Linked DNA regions of Macaca mulatta. The protein of the gene in region 2 purifies or fractionates together with the protein of the main gene of each other region. This does not show direct contact. Links are inferred from orthologs where the notes say so. Each region holds a gene or a part of one and is shown on either strand. Other genes may lie near its edges. The genes, in order: NUSAP1, CCNF, CDC6 and RRM2.

Evidence for each region.
Region 1: the proteins of CCNF (region 2) and NUSAP1 purify together in Homo sapiens (affinity purification with mass spectrometry; 3 studies listed by BioGRID, with this or other methods). This does not show direct contact. The link is inferred for Macaca mulatta from reciprocal best matches to the Homo sapiens genes CCNF and NUSAP1.
Region 3: the proteins of CCNF (region 2) and CDC6 purify together in Homo sapiens (affinity purification with western blotting; 4 studies listed by BioGRID and IntAct, with this or other methods). This does not show direct contact. The link is inferred for Macaca mulatta from reciprocal best matches to the Homo sapiens genes CCNF and CDC6.
Region 4: the proteins of CCNF (region 2) and RRM2 purify together in Homo sapiens (affinity purification with western blotting; 5 studies listed by BioGRID and IntAct, with this or other methods). This does not show direct contact. The link is inferred for Macaca mulatta from reciprocal best matches to the Homo sapiens genes CCNF and RRM2.

What each region holds. Positions count from the first base shown.
Region 1 is NC_133412.1:18,723,347-18,726,750, reverse strand, and holds part of NUSAP1 (nucleolar and spindle-associated protein 1), read right to left. Parts: intron 1,341-3,404; coding exon 1,232-1,340; intron 1-1,231. UniProt on the Homo sapiens protein: Microtubule-associated protein with the capacity to bundle and stabilize microtubules. May associate with chromosomes and promote the organization of mitotic spindle microtubules around them.
Region 2 is NC_133425.1:3,661,004-3,665,145, forward strand, and holds the start of CCNF (cyclin-F), read left to right. Parts: upstream 1-1,337; 5' UTR 1,338-1,368; coding exon of another isoform or gene 1,369-1,384; exon of another isoform or gene 1,385-1,451; intron 1,452-2,996; coding exon of another isoform or gene 2,997-3,151; intron 3,152-4,142. UniProt on the Homo sapiens protein: Substrate recognition component of a SCF (SKP1-CUL1-F-box protein) E3 ubiquitin-protein ligase complex which mediates the ubiquitination and subsequent proteasomal degradation of target proteins.
Region 3 is NC_133421.1:64,677,235-64,680,796, forward strand, and holds part of CDC6 (cell division control protein 6 homolog), read left to right. Parts: intron 1-399; coding exon 400-500; intron 501-1,009; coding exon of another isoform or gene 1,010-1,256; exon of another isoform or gene 1,257-1,396; intron 1,397-1,747; coding exon 1,748-1,812; intron 1,813-3,562. UniProt on the Homo sapiens protein: Involved in the initiation of DNA replication. Also participates in checkpoint controls that ensure DNA replication is completed before mitosis is initiated.
Region 4 is NC_133418.1:114,701,974-114,706,298, forward strand, and holds the start of RRM2 (ribonucleoside-diphosphate reductase subunit M2), read right to left. Parts: upstream 2,852-4,325; 5' UTR 2,360-2,851; intron 1,774-2,359; exon of another isoform or gene 511-1,773; 5' UTR 467-510; coding exon 368-466; intron 284-367; coding exon 209-283; intron 1-208. UniProt on the Homo sapiens protein: Provides the precursors necessary for DNA synthesis. Catalyzes the biosynthesis of deoxyribonucleotides from the corresponding ribonucleotides. Inhibits Wnt signaling.

The DNA.
Region 1 (3,404 bases), on a different chromosome or scaffold from region 2:
CTCAGCCAACTTAATAACAGCGAGCAAAGGCCTTGGCGCAGTCATGTATAGCCATGAGTCAAATGATAGGTAACCCTGTGTCATGAGGGTCCAAGCAGGGAATCTGGGCCCAACCATGATTTGCTACAACCTAGGATGAGCTCTGGCTTTAACTTGGTTTTCATGCTGAAGGAAGCCTCTAAGGACCGTCCTGGGTGCTCCTCTTTATAGGGCCTTGATGCCTTGTAAGCCTGGCTTCCTTAGGAGTGAGGAATTGATGTCTATCTGGATACGTAGGTGCCCTGGACTGCTGGGCATTGGTATCAGGAGAGATACCCACATGCCCTGTGTTGAGGCAGATGAGTCATGCAAGAGCAGTGCTCTGAATCTGGGTCTTCTTCTGAATCACCTGCAGAGCTTTGGAAACAATGCAGGTGCTTGGGCCTCACCCCAAACCTGCTGATTTGGAGTCCATTACACTGGAACATGTACTCAGAAAGTTCTATATATGATGCTACTTCTTTTCTTTTCTTTTTTTTTTTGAGATGGAGTCTCACTCTGTTGCCCAGGCTGGAGTGCAGTGGCACGATCTCGGCTCACTGCAAGCTCTGCCTCCCGGGTTCCTGCCTCAGCCTCCCGAATAGCTGGGACCACAGGTGCCCGCCACCACGCCTGGCTAATTTTTTTTTTCATTTTTGTATTTTTAGTAGAGACAGGGTTTCACCATGTTAGCCAGGATGGTCTCGATCTCCTGATCTCATGATCCGCCTGCCTCAGCCTCCCAAAGTGCTGGGATTACAGGTGTGAGCCACCACGCCTGGCCCATGATACCACTTCTAACCTCCCCTTAAAACACCACTATTACTGAGTCTCTATCCCTCAGAGGTGCTGCTTTTGTTTTGTGTTTTTTTTTGAGGCGGAGTCTCATTCTGTCCCCTAGGCTGGAGTGCAATGGCCGGATCTCGGCTCACTGCAAGCTCCGCCTCCCGGGTTCACGCCATTCTCCTGCCTCAGCCTCCCTAGTAGCTGGGACTACAGGCGCCCGCCACCACGCCCAGCTAATTTTTTGTATTTTTTTTAGTAGAGATGGGGTTTCACCATGTTAGCCAGGACGGTCTCGATCTCCTGACCTTGTGATCCGCCCGTCTTGGCCTCCCAAAGTGCTGGGATTACAGGCTTGAGCCACCGCGCCCGGCCAAGGTGCTGCTTTTGAAATTAAAATAATTATAAAGCTGGATAATTATGTACTTACTTTGTCTGGAGATGGGGTTGTTTGTAAGTTTTCTTGTAGAAGTTAATTCTGTTGACATGTTGATTTAGATAATTATTTTCTTTAGATTGCCCCCATGGTTTTAGCTTTCCTAGTTTAGGACAGAGACAAAGAGTTTTAAGAAGATTGTTTGATTTATATTCCCAACTTCATTCCCTTCATCTGTGGTTACCTGCTATTGACAATTATACTTTTTTCTTTGAGACAGAATCTCACTCTGTTGCTCAGGTTGGAGTGCAGTGGTGTGATCTGATCTTAGCTCACAGCAACCTCCGCCTCCTGGGCTCAAGTGATCCTCCCAACTCAGACTCATGAGTAGCTGGGACTACAGGCACACACCACCATGCCCAGGTAATTTTTGTATTTTTTAGTAGAGACGAGGTTTTGTCATGTTGCCCATGCTGGTCTCGAGCTCCTGTTCTCAAGCAATCTGCCTGCCTTGGCCTCCTAAAGTGCTGGGATTACAGGCGTGAGCCACTGTGTCCAACCAATTTGCAATTTTACAAAAAAGAACTGGGACCCAATTTCTGGAAGTTTACGTGTTGCTTTTTTTTGGTTTTGTTTTGTGTTTTTTTTTTTTTTTTGAGATGGAGTCTTGCTCTGTCGCCCGGGGTGGGGTGCAGTGGCCGGATCTCAGCTCACTGCAAGCTCCGCCTCCCGGGTTTACGCCATTCTCCTGCCTCAGCCTCCCGCGTAGCTGGGACTACAGGCGCCCGCCACCTTACCCGGCTAGTTTTTTGTCTTTTTAGTAGAGACGGGGTTTCACCGTGTTGGCCAGGATGGTCTCGATCTCCTGACCTCGTGATCTGCCCGTCTCGGCCTCCCAAAGTGCTGGGATTACAGGCTTGAGCTACCGCGCCCGGCCTGTTTTGTTTTTTAAATTTTTTTTTTTTTGAGACGGAGTCTGGCTCTGTTGCCCAGGCTGGAGTGCAGTAGCGCGATCCGGGCTCACTGCAAGCTCCACCTCCTGGGTTCACGCCATTCTCCTGCCTCAGCCTCCCGAGTAGCTGGGACTACAGGCGCCCGCCACCTCGCCCGGCTAGTTTATTGTATTCTTTTTAGTAGAGGCGGGGTTTCACCGTGTTAGCCAGGATGGTCTCGATCTCCTGACCTCGTGATCCTCCAGTCTCGGCCTCCCAAAGTGCTGGGATTACAGGCTTGAGCCACCGCGCCCGGCCTGTTTTTTAAATTTAAATATAGTTTTTGTTTTTTTTTAATTTTTTTTTTTTTTTTGAGATGGAGTCTTGCTCATCGCCCAGGCTAAGGTGCAGTGGCGCCATCTCGGCTCACTGCAAGCTCCGCCTCCTGGGTTCATGCCATTCTCCTGTCTCAGTCACCCAAGTAGCTGGGACTACAGGCGCCCGCCACCGCGCCCGGCTAATTTTTTGTATTTTTTTTTTAGCAGAGACGGGGTTTCACCGTGTTAGCCAAGATGGTCTCGATCTCCTGACCTTGTGATCCGCCCGCCTTGGCCTCTCAAAGTGCTGGGATTACAGGCGTGAGCCACCGCGCCCAGCCTTTTTTTTTTTTTTAATTTTTTAGACGGAGCTCTGTTGTCCAGGCTGGAGTGTACTGGCACGATCTCGGCTCACTGCAACCTCTGCCTCTGGGGTTCGTGCAATTCTCCTGCCTCAGCCTCCCGAGTAGCTGGGACTACAGGCACACGCCACCGTGCCCAGCTAATTATTGTATTTTTAGTAGTCGAGACGGGCTTCAGTGGCTCTCTATAGGCACAGTCATAGCATACACTGCAGCCTTGAACTCCTGGCTGCAAGTGATCTTCCCAGTTCAGCCTTCCATATAGCTGGGAGTACAGGCATACATACTACTACACCTGGCTCTATGTCCTGCTTTTCTTTTTTATTGAGATAGGGTTTCACTCTGTTGCCCCGGCTGGAATGCAGTGGTACAGTCATGGCTTACTGCAGCCCAAACCTCCCTGGCTCATGCAATCCTCACATCCCAGCTTCCTGAATAGCTAGGATCACAGGCACGTGTCACCATGTCCAGCTAATTTTTAAATTTTTTGGTAGAGATAGGGTCTTGCTAAGTTGTCCAGGCTGCTCTTGAACTCCCAGGCTCAAGTCATCCTCTTGCCTGTGCCTCCCAAAGTACTGGGATTACAGCCATCAGCCACTGCACCCTGCTGAATCAA
Region 2 (4,142 bases):
CCAAACTTGCTCAGCCTGTTCTCTCTTCACCCTCCTTCATCCGCTTCCTGATTCCAGGACAGGGAATAGTCCCAACTTCCAGGCCCTCTCTGGGGCCACGGACTCTTCTGCGCCCTGTGCTGTGATCACCTGTTTGCTCTGTCTCTTGCTCCAGGCTGGCTGTAGCCTACACACCAGGGCTCCTGTCTGTGTGCCCAGGGCAGGCCCAGTACTTGAAGGGGTTCTATGGGGACTCAGAAGGATGGAAGGGTGCAGACTGAGGGAAGCGTGAGGGAGGGGTAGGCAGCCTTGGCCCAGGCCCCTGCCTTCCCCAGGAAAAGCCCCTCTGTCCTCCACCAGACACTCAGGAGGCTGCGTGTCTTCCCCTTGACAGCCTGTGCCGTGAAAGGGGTGGGGTATGGCTGATTCCTGAAGGACAGCTCGGATGAGCTCTGCCTAAGACAGGAGTGAGCAGATGTGACAGATCGCACGGCGAGCAGCTACCAGGTAGCAGCCGAGGAGGCGAGACAGGGGGCAGCATCTGGCCAAAGTGAGGGGGAGGGCTTGCCCCGGGGCTGGGGCACTGAGGCGTCCAGGGTGCGCCACGATTCGCGGGAAGAAGGGGTCAGCGTTCCGCGGGGGAGACTTCCAGCGCCAGCTCCGACCTCCTCTTTCCCTACCACGATCCGGGCCAGCATCCCCGCCCAGCAGCGGCTCGGCCACAAACCCAAGGGTCTCCACCTGAAGCAGGCGGCGGAAAGGATGGCCGTGCAGGCTGGGGGTGAGGGTCGCGGACCCAGGACCGACCCCGGGACCCGGGCAGGGCACGGCCTCGTTCTAGAAGCGCCACGTCGGGGCTGTGCCAGGCTGGATCACGGCCGCGACTGCGAGGGACGCCAAGGAGTCCTCTTTCCCCTGGCCGCAGGCATGCGCCTTCGGAGCCCATCGGGCACCGCAGATGCCAGTCGCCGGGGTCAGCGGCGAAGCCCGGACCCATGCGGCCGGGAGAGGACGCCTAGAAACCCCTGCGCGCCGGCCGGGAGCCGCGTTCCTCCAGGACCCCAGCCCCGCTGGGGAGGCGGGGCGGCCACGCGGATTCCACCAGTCAGCGACCAATGTTCGAATTCGCGTCCTGGCGCGGCCAATGGCGGGCGCCCGGAGCAGGCAGTGTGGGCGTGGAGGGCGGTAAATAAGGCGAGCCCGGGGCGGGACGTGGGCGGGGCAGGCGGCGGCCCCCCCGGGCAGGCCAATGGGAGGGCCGGGCGCGTTTGAAAACTGGGGTGGGCGGTGGGGCGGGGTCTGCGCCTGCGCGAGGGCTCCGCGCGCGCTCCAGCCGGGGCGCGGGCGCGCTCGCAGGCGGGCTCAGGCGACAGAGACGCGAGCGCGGCGATGGGGAGCGGTGGCGGTGAGTGGGAGGCGATGCCCGCCGGTTTCTGCCCCACAGCCGTTCTGCCTGCCCTGCGGGGCAGACGGTGGGTCCCGCGGGAGGGGAGGCCCTGGCGGCCTGAGGAGGGCCGGCTCGAGCTCTTTAACCCGGGGCGGGTGTCGCGTCCGGCGCAGGGAGCCCCCGCGGCCGGGCGCGCGGTTTAAATGCCCGGCGGGCGCCCGAGCCCCTCGTCGCCTTCCCTCGGGGCGACGTTTTCCGGCCCTTTGCCGGAGCGGCGATCGGGTCTCGGACGGCGATCGGGTCCCGGGGCGGCGATCGGGTCCCGGGGAGCCAAACACCAGCGCCTCCTGGTCGGGGTTGGGGCTGCGGAGCGCGTGGGGTCGAAGCGATCCCGCGGCCCGGCCCGGCCCTGACTGGGCCTCGGTCCAGCGGGGCCGTGGACCTAGCTCTGTGGAAAGCAGCGTTCGGCCCCGCGCGCGATGAGGCACAGGAAACTCGAGCTGTAGTTTGAGCTATTATCACAGTATCTGTCCGGGAGCCGGAGAATGAGGAATATTTTATGGAGAGCTCTATAGAATCTTTGAGAGTTCGTCGCCCTGGAATACGTTTGGCTTTTGCAGCTCTTTTAATTGCTGACAGGAAGACCCGGGTCGGGAGAGGGGAGCAAGGAGCAATTGCTAGGAAGTCCTGGTGGGGAGGGATTTGGGCCCACAGAGGGGAGTGGCGTTTCCTTTCAGGACTGGAAGAATGGATAGAAAGGTAGATTTGTAGATGGGGAGGCAGGATCCTGAGGTTCCTGTCTGAGGGCTTCTGTTTCTCTATGAAATAAGGGCTAAGGTCATCTGCTTAGAGTGAGGAAGGGGTTGCTGGAGTAGGAGTTAGAAAAGCCGGCTGTGGGAAGAGGAGAGAGCACATCTGAGAAGCATGGCTGGGCTGCCTGCCTGGTGGGTGGAGAGCCCGTCTCACCTTTAACGATTGCACCTGTAGACAGACCTACAGGTCTAGGTTTGTGTTGGGACCTGAGCAACAACCTTGCTGCGTAGCTGTCAACTCTGCATTCTACAGTGGAGGGCACACTGAGACTCTGCAGAGCTGACTTGGACGCACACTACCCCGGCCTCCAAGCCTGTGGCTTCTCTCCAGGGCTGACCCTTCTAATTTGGATTGAAAACCAGACTCTACAAGCCCACAGATCCTTATTGAACATTATGCACCTTGGTCATGTGTGCAAAAAGCAAAGATGTCCAGCAAAGGCCCCAGGGGTTTTCCTAAGAGTGAAATGGAAGGAAAACGGTCATCAGCCTCAGCAGCTTTTTCCCCTTCCTGACTGTCATGTGGGCTCTGGATCAGAAAGTTTCCCAATAGCCAAGTTACATGATATGCGCTATTTGCCATAAATATTTGTTGAATATTTGAAAATGAATGATCTCTTCTGTAATTTGTGCAATGCCACTCCTTTTACATAATCTTTGTTTGGGACAGGAAGCATAGTTCCGTTTTTGTGGCACAGGGAATCGTAACCATTAGATCATTTTCAGGTGTAACTTTTATCCTTTTTTTTTTCCCTTCAAGGGTATGTATATAGAATAATTTTTCGTCTTATCAACACTTCTGTCTTTTTTTCCTTCAGTGGTTCACTGTAGGTGTGCCAAGTGTTTCTGTTATCCTACAAAGCGAAGAATAAGGAGGAGGCCCCGAAACCTGACCATCTTGAGTCTCCCTGAAGATGTGCTCTTTCACATCCTGAAATGGCTTTCTGTAGAGGACATCCTGGCTGTCCGAGCTGTAAGTCCCTGGATGAAAACAGCATGAGCCCTAGCACTGTTACCATCAAGGCCTTGTGTTCTTAACTGTCAGAACAAAACTTTGACTAAAAAGGAGGTCACGGGCAGAGGCCGGGCACGGTGGCTCACACCTGTAATCCCAGCACTTTGAAAGGCCAAGGGGGGGGGGTGGATCACCTGAGGTCAGGAGTTCGAGACCAGCCTGGCCAACTTGGCGAAATCTGTCTCTACTAAAAATACAAAAATTAGGCGTGGTGTCTCATGCCTGTGATCCCAGCTACTAGAGAGGCTGAGGCAGGAAAATGGCTTGAACCATTTTCAAGGTTGAAGCAGTGAGCCAAGATCTCACCACTGCACTCCAGTCTCCAGCCTGGGCAACAGAGCAAGACTCTGTCTCAAAAAAAAAAAAAAAAAAGGGGGCAAAAGGAAACAAGGATGATATCATTACCATTACCATATGCTTTCTTTAAGACATTCTGATTACAGAAATTTCCATTCCTGTCTCCCAGCACACTAAAGTTGCCTCTGTTCATTACAGTGTCAACAGAAAAGTACCTTTTTTTTTCTCTGAGACAGAGTCTCGCTCTGCCGCCCAGGCTGGAGTGTGGTGGCGCAATCTCCACTCACTGCAAGCTCCGCCTCCCGGGTTCATGCCATTCTCCTGCCTCAGCCTCCCGAGTAACTGAGACTACAGGCGCCCGCCGCCACACCCGGCTAATTTTTTGTATTTTTAATAGAGTCAGGGTTTCACCATGTTAGCCAGGATGGTCTCAATCTCCTGACCTTGTGATCCGCCCACCTCGGCCTTCCAAAGTGCTGGGATTACAGGCGTAAACCACCATATCCGGCCAAAAGTACCCTTTTATGGCAGTGAAATTTGCATCCCTTAAAAGATAGTGTTTAAAAGAATAAGAAGGCCAGGCGCGGTGGCTCAAGCCTGTAATCCCAGCACTTTGGGAGGCCGAGACGGGTGGATCACAAGGTCAGGAGAT
Region 3 (3,562 bases), on a different chromosome or scaffold from region 2:
TCAGGTGATATGCCTGTCTCGGCCTCCAAAGTGCTCAGATTACAGGTGTGAGCCACTGTACCCGGCCTCAAGTGCTTTCTTTAATGACTTTTAAAAAATAGGGCCTATGAAAAAACTTTTTCTGTTGAAAGTAACTAAATAGATATTTTATTTTTGCTAATTTCAGTTCTGATTGCTTTTTTTCCATTTATGAACTTCTACCACATCCATACAAAATGCTTAAATGTGTGAAAACTCTCAAATATCTCCATTATTTATGAGAAGAAAAGGCATCTTTTTGACCCTAAGGAGTTGCCAATCAAGTTTAGGGTTAAATGTGAAAATATTTATGCTTGGGACATAAATTACCGAGGGAGAATCTTATAGTTCAAACTGTCATATTCTATGTCTTGTCTTAAGGTATCTAGAGATCAGGTTCTGGACAATGCTGCAATTCAATTCTGTGCCCGCAAAGTCTCTGCTGTTTCAGGAGATGTTCGCAAAGCACTAGATGTTTGCAGGTGAGTTATGGCACTGTTGCCTCCTTTTATTAAAAAAAAAAAAGAAATGCTGTTAATTGTCTCATGTAACTCAAGTGAATGTGGCTTAAGAGGCTCTGTTCTGCTACTTTTTTACGCTCAGAAAGGAGGACTTGTTTCTCAGTGGGGAGCTCTGGATTTCCACCGTGTTAATGTCTGAAACATTATCAGTCCATTACCTACAGAGGGAGAAACAAATGAGATGTTGCTGGCACTCCCTGTGGTGATTATAGATTGGTTAATTACATTTGTATTAAAAAAGACTCCAGTTTACTTTTCCATTAGCTGGTCTCAAGCAGGTTTATTTATGGACCTGAACCATCTTTGCCTTTAGACTTTTTTCCTTCCTTTCCTTTTGTGAGCACCCCTTCTTCCCTCCAGTTGGTGGTCCCCCATAGTTGTACTCCAGACCTCTTTCTCCCTTCCCATCCCCCTGCCCCTCCTGCTGGGGAAAGCCTCTGTGCTGACTGATGAAATTTCTTCCTTCCCAGTAGGGACGCTGGGTCCATTAAAATGATACTTGCTGTGCTGGCCTGCTGGTCCAACCTCCCCCTATTGCCATGCAGAAGACCCAGGTCTGGCTTATGGCTTCCTGTGGGCAAAGTACTTTGGAGAGAGCAGTGGGAGAGTAAGCTCTTCCTATTGCTAGATTGCATGATCCTGAATTTGAAAGTTTCCCCTAATCAGCAAACTACTTGGGTAAAGACTGCAACTATGAGCAATAGTCATGTAGGCTAGGGTGGTTTAGCCTACACATATCCTATGTATTTATAACTGAAGATATCTCTTTTAGGTTTGGTGTGTATGGGTGGTGCTGGCTCCCTTTAGTTAGTCACCCACACTACATATCCTCTCTCCTACCCATGACATTTTCTCCTCATCCAAGATGTTATCATTGGCTTAATGTATGATGACCTACTTGGCATCTATTAGGAGGAAACCATTGAAGTTTCTCAAATCTGACGTCCATGAATAATTTCAAAGCAATTAAGTCCCCTTATCTGAGAAATAACCCAGTTTTGTTTGGGGGCTTTAAAATTACAAAACATCATAATTTTAAAGTTAGACATAGGATATGTATAGGCTAAACCATGTTAGCCTACATGACCATTGTTCATAGTTGCAGTCTTTAAGCAATAGTCATTAATGTGCCTGCTTTTGAGGCTGGTGATTTGGTATGGTGTTTGGTTTGGCTCACACTAAATTAATTTTAGAAATTTTTTTTATAGGAGAGCTATTGAAATTGTAGAGTCAGATGTCAAAAGCCAGACTGTTCTCAAACCACTGTCTGAATGTAAGTAGTTTATCTTCTTCTTGTCTTCCTTTGTAACTGGAAGCTTAGCTTTTCTGAGGAAAGAGGTAAAAAGATGAAATGAACATAGTTAAATCCAAAATCACCCATTTTTGTGTGTGTCTGTGTTTTTAGTCTGTTTCATCTACTTTATTTCAATCTTGCCTGCCAGTACTATAGTTCATGCATTACTGGAAATGAGTTCCCAGGGTATTGCGTAAATGGCTGGGACAGAGTAAGTTTTCTTTCCAAGCTCTAAAAATGAAACTTGTAGACAATGAGGTTGGATCAGCTCTCTAGGTGCTTATGTTGCGTGCACTTTAGGTCTCAATATAGGTGAAAGCAAAGCCTGATAAATAAGGGAGAATTGGGTAAAAGAATTGTGAGGCCGGCCGGGCGCGGTGGCTCAAGCCTGTAATCCCAGCACTTTGGGAGGCCGAGACGGGCGGATCACGAGGTCAGGAGATCGAGACCATCCTGGTTAACACGGTGAAACCCCGTCTCTACTAAAAAATACAAAAAACTAGCCGGCCGAGGTGGCGGACGCCTGTAGTCCCAGCTACTCGGAAGGCGGAGGCAGGAGAATGGCGTGAACCCGGGAGGCGGAGCTTGCAGTGAGCTGAGATCCGGCCACTGCACTCCAGCCTGGGTGACAGCGCGAGACTCCGTCTCAAAAAAAAAAAAAAAAAAAAAAGAAAAAAAAAAAAAGAGTTGTGAGGCCAGAGGCCCGGCGCGGTGGCTCAAGCCTGTAATCCCAGCACTTTGGGAGGCCGAGACGGGCGGATCACGAGGTCAGGAGATCGAGACCATCCTGGCTAATACGGTGAAACCCCGTCTTTACTAAAAAAATACAAAAAACTAGCCCGGTGAGGTGGCGGGCGCCTATAGTCCCAGCTACCCGAGAGGCTGAGGCAGGAGAATGGCGTAAACCCGGGAGGCGGAGCTTGCGGTGAGCTGAGATCCGGCCACTGCACTCCAGCCTGGGCGACAGAGCGAGACTCCGTCTCAAAAAAAAAAAAAAAAAAGAATTGTGAGGCTAGGTGTGGTGGTTCACACCTGTAATCCCAGCACTTTGGGAGGCCAAGGCGGGAGGATCGCTTGAGCCCAGGATTGTGAGACCAGCCTGGGCAATATAGTGAGACCTTGTTTCTACAACAAAATTTTAAAAATTTTGCAGCCATTAGAAATATGAGTTCATATCCTTTTTAGGGACATGGATGAAGCTGGAAACCATCATTCTTCAGCAGAGTAACACAGGAACAGAAAACCAAATACCACATGTTCTCACTCATAAGTGGGAGTTGAACAATGAGAACACATGGATGCAGGGAGGGGAACATCACATGCCGGAGCCTGTCAGGGGTGAGGGCCAAAGGGAGGGAGAGCATGCGGGACTTAAAACCTAGATGAGGGGTTGATGAGTGCAGCAGGCCATCATGGCACATGTATACCTATGTAACAAACCTGCACATTCTGCACATGTATCCCAGAACTTAAAGTTAAAAAAAAAAAATTAGACAAGCATGGCGTGTGCCTATAGTCCTAGCTACTTGGGAGGGTGAGGCAGGAGAATCACTTGAGCCGGAAAGGCAGTGGTTGCAGTGAGCTGAGATCGTGCCACTGCACTGCCAGCCTGGGCAACAAAGTGAGACTCTGTCTCAAAAGAATAATAAGAAAAATTATAAGTTCAACTTGGGATAGATATCTCAAGCTTTTAAAGAAGTCTAGAGGGTAGAGGTAAAAATATCATACT
Region 4 (4,325 bases), on a different chromosome or scaffold from region 2:
TCCCGTCGCACTCCGTGGGTCGCAGCAGAGGAGCGCACGCCCAAACCGGGAAATGGGCCGAGGGGCACGGGAGGTCGCCCTGGGGAGGGGCCGCGTAGGCGGGAAAGGAACCGGCGCGGGAGTGTGAACAGCTGAGGAGACAATGCGGTTTTGGCGCCAAGACGCCCAAGGCCGCCCCTGGCCCCTCTGCCCCACGCCCGTCACTCACCGGCTCCACGGGCTCCTGGAAGATCCTCCTCGCGGTCTTGCTGGCCAGGACGCGGGCCCCGCTCAGGGCTGGCGGCTGCAGGGAGACGTGTGTGAGTCGGAGGCGGCTTCGCTTCCCTGCCTCCCTCCCCGGTCCGCAGCACCCTCCCCGCGCGCTCACCGTGTTCTCCTTGTCTACCAGGCTTAGCCCCTTCAGCGGCGAGAGCTGCAGCTGCTGCGGGTTCGTGATGGGCGCGAGCGGGATGCGGACGGAGAGCATAGTGGCGGCGCAGCGAAGTACAGCGACAGGCCAGAACAGGATGGCTGGGACGCGAAGCACGGGCGACCCCTCGGTCCAGCAGCCTTTAAATCTCCCGTGCCGGCCCTTCCCATTCGCTTTGGCGCCCCGGCCCTTCCCATTGGCTGTGCCGTGCCCCCGACCCTTCCATTGGCTGCACCTTGACCCCACCCAGGCTGGCCGCGGGACAGCGCGCGATTTTCAAGCGCAGCGCGGGAGCCTCCGCCGGCGCCTTCCGGGGACCACCGGGGACACCCCCGTGGACGCCCCCCGGGACCTCCCGGTTCCCCCCGCTCCGTCCGCTGGCTGGGTCGGGGGCGCCGCCGCCCGGGCCTCCACAGGTCCCACGGGACCAGGACCGCAGTCCCTGAGAGTCTCGGCGGCGTTGGCGCGCGCGGGCCCCGGTTCGCCCGGGAACCGTTTGGGATTGCGTGAGGCGCAGCGATTGGAGCCCGCGGGCGCGCTTCCCAAAAGCGCCTCCTCCCAGCCGCGCCGCCGCAGGGCAGGAGACTTTGCCAACGAGGTTGGTGCAAAGGCCTGGAAGACGCTCCTGGGTCGGGGGAGGCGTTGCTGCGACCCTTTCGATCTGTGTCCCTGGGGTGGGAGTGCAAGGGCCCCGAGCCCTGACATTTGGGCGGGGTGGTCGGCGAGGACCCTACAGCCTAAAAGTTAGGGCTGCTGAGCCCCGCGGCTCGTTTTGTTGTGACTGGGACATGCGACCAGGCTTCTTACAGATTCGGCGTCCCCCTGAGTAAAATGGGACTCGTCACCGCGTGGGGTGTTAATGTGGTGAGGAGAGCATTCGTTGAGATGACTCATGTAAAATGTGCAGTCCTTCGTAAACCTTCAAACTCCAGGACACGGAGAGAAGGCCCTTGGTGCAATTTTCCACAGAAATCCTGTCTCCTGTCAGACCCCTGTCCCCTATTGTCACCCTTGCTTTAAGAATTGCAAACTGTGGCTGGGCGCGGTGGCTCACGCCTGTAGTCCCAGCACTTTGGGAGGCCGAGGCAGGAGGATTGTTTGAGGCCAAGAGCTGGAGACCAGCCTTGGCAACATAGTGAGACCCCGCCCCCATTAAAAAAAGAAAAAAAAAACTTGTTTTAATTGCAAACTGAGCAAAAATTCCTGGGAGAAAGTTCACAGAATGATTTTAGAACTAGGATTTAATGTACTACTCATTGGGCATCAAATATGCTGAAGAGGAGTTTGAAAACACTGAGGTAGAGCCTGGAACTTAGCAACAGCTTTCATTTAATTGTCTATGTGGCTTTCCGATTTGCCAGGCCCTGCAACGGCAAAATGCCAAAAATAAAGGAAGAGAAAGAAACTTTAAGATCCAAGAAGAAATCATTAACCTGAGAAAGCTTCAACAGCTGCACTCAGGGCTGTTATTGAGAGACTCGGGACTTTTTACAAAGCCTTTTCTAGATACTTTATAGAGGGTGGGGTTGGACAGATACCCTCCCCATCTAGGTCTGTTTCTCTCATTTCTTAAAAGTACTACGGACTTGTATTCAAAGTATTCTCGTGTTGCAGGGATAAGTGACCATCACATTCCTTACACAAAGCCACAACCAAAACTTTGGTGTAGCATGATTTGTTTAAAGCAACTTGCCATCCATTGCCAGTTTCACCCCCAAACACACTAAAGCATCCATCTCCAGGAAATTGGTATTTTTATTGATTACTTTATGGCTGATAAAGCTATTATCTAACAAAATTATAATTTCTTGGTGTAATACTCAACTCAGATTTCAATGTCCCATAATCAACGTCTAAAGCCCTGGTTTTGGTTGCCCTACGGCGCCACGTGCTTTTTTGCTCCTGTTAAACTCACTGTTAACTGAAATAGCCAGAGGTGGCTTCACTTACAGTTTAGTTCCTGGCCACGTAATTAACAGCCATTGTAGAAGGCGCGGAAAGATGCGTACGTGTTAGAGGCCAGGTGAAGTCGCCATCCTCCCCTCCCGCGCTGAACCTGAGTCATCTCGGCGTGGCCCTCCTCCCTCCAGGTCCGGCATCTTTGCCCCGCTGCGGAGGTGGCGGCGCCCACGGCCACGCGGCAATGCGGAAGGTTCCGCCTCTGGGGGGTCGGGCAAAGCAGCCACTCCCGGGAGGGCGCCCGCCGCCGCCGCCGCAGGCGCCGGGCTGCTGCTAGCGCCGGGATTTACTCCTTTTTCCGTCGGTGCTCGTTTTTTTGGTTTTATTTAAGTGAACAGACAAGGGTCTCGCTTGTTTGCCCAGGCTGATCTCAAACTCCTGGCCTCAAGCGATCCTCCCTCCGCCTCCCTAAGCCCCGGGATTCCTGGCGGGAGCCACTTGAGCGCGCGTTTTGACATCTGCATCTACACCATTGGTCTGCACGGGAGGCCCCGCCCCGTTCCCCGGAAGGCTCCTCTGCATTCCCAGCCTCAGGTGCCCCGCCCCGTTTCCGCTGCGCGCTCTCCCGCTCATACGCCCCCAGCCCGGACAGGTTTGCAGGTCCCTGGCCAAGGTTAGCGCGACTTCCAAAAGGCTGTTCCTACCTGTCCACCATTAGGGTGGAAAAACCGCGGCCCGGGGAGCTCAGCACTCACTGTGTACCAGACGCCGTGCCGAAGGTGGTCATAATAATAATTACGGCTGCAGCACCCACAGCCTCTGGGCACCTGGATCGTGTGAGGCTGGGTTTTTTTTGTTTTGTTTTGTTTTGTTTTAGTTTTTTGGTTTTTTTGTTTTGAGACAGGGTCTCGCTCTGTTGCCCAGGCTGGTGGCTGCATCATAGTTCACTGCAGCCTCAACTTTCCGAGCTCAAGCGATCCTCCCACCTCAGCCTCCCAAGTAGCTAGGACTGCAGGCATGCACCACTCTGCCAGGCTAATTTTTAAATTTTTTGTAGAGATGGGTTCTCGGTATGTCACCCGGGCTGGTCTTGAACCCCTGGGCTCAAGCCCTCCACCCGCCTTGGCCTCCCAAAATGCTCAGATTACAGGCGTGAGCCACCGTCCCACCGGGGTTGGTATTTTTAACCCCGTTTCATAGGTGAGGAAATGAAGACCTGAGAGGCAAGGAAACTGCCCAAGGTCGCACAGCACAACTGCACAGCAGAACGTTTCTACCCTAACTTTTTATTATGAATGTTTTCAACATACAGAATAATGGAACGATTGCTAGCATTCGCCCACTACCTAGGATTCAACAGCTGTTTCTATTTTGCCATATTTGCCTCATGGCAAATATGGCAGACACCCCCTCTGTGGGTGTGTGAGGCTTATGCTTTTTTATGGATCATTTGAAAGTGATAGATATCATGACCCATTACCCCTAAACGTTTCAGCTCCTAAAAATAAGGACACTCTCTAACATCACCACAATACCACATTTATCCCTAGGAAAACTAACAATACTCCAGTATCACCTAATATCCAGTCCATATTCCTGTTTTTCCAATTGTTTCAAAAATGTCTCATAGTTTTTTGGATTTACTTTTTTTATGCAGGATCTAATTAAGTACATGCATTGCGTTTGGTTATTATGTTGCTTTAGACTCTTAATAAAGCTCTTCCACTTCTTTTCCCCACGACATTGGCTTTGAAGTACAGGCCAGTTTTCTTGTAGAATGTCCCACATCCTACATTTGCCTGATTGTTTATTCACGGTGTCAATTAACTTGTTTTCCTGACCCCTGGACTCTACACTGGAAGTTAGGTGAAAAGGCTTTATTAGGCCCTGCTTGGAGGCTCACGCCTGTAATCCCAGCACTTTGGGAGGCTGAGGCAGGCAGATCACCTGAGGTCAGGAGTTTGAGAGCAGCCTGGCCAATATAGGGAAACCCCATCTCTACTAAAAATACAAAAAT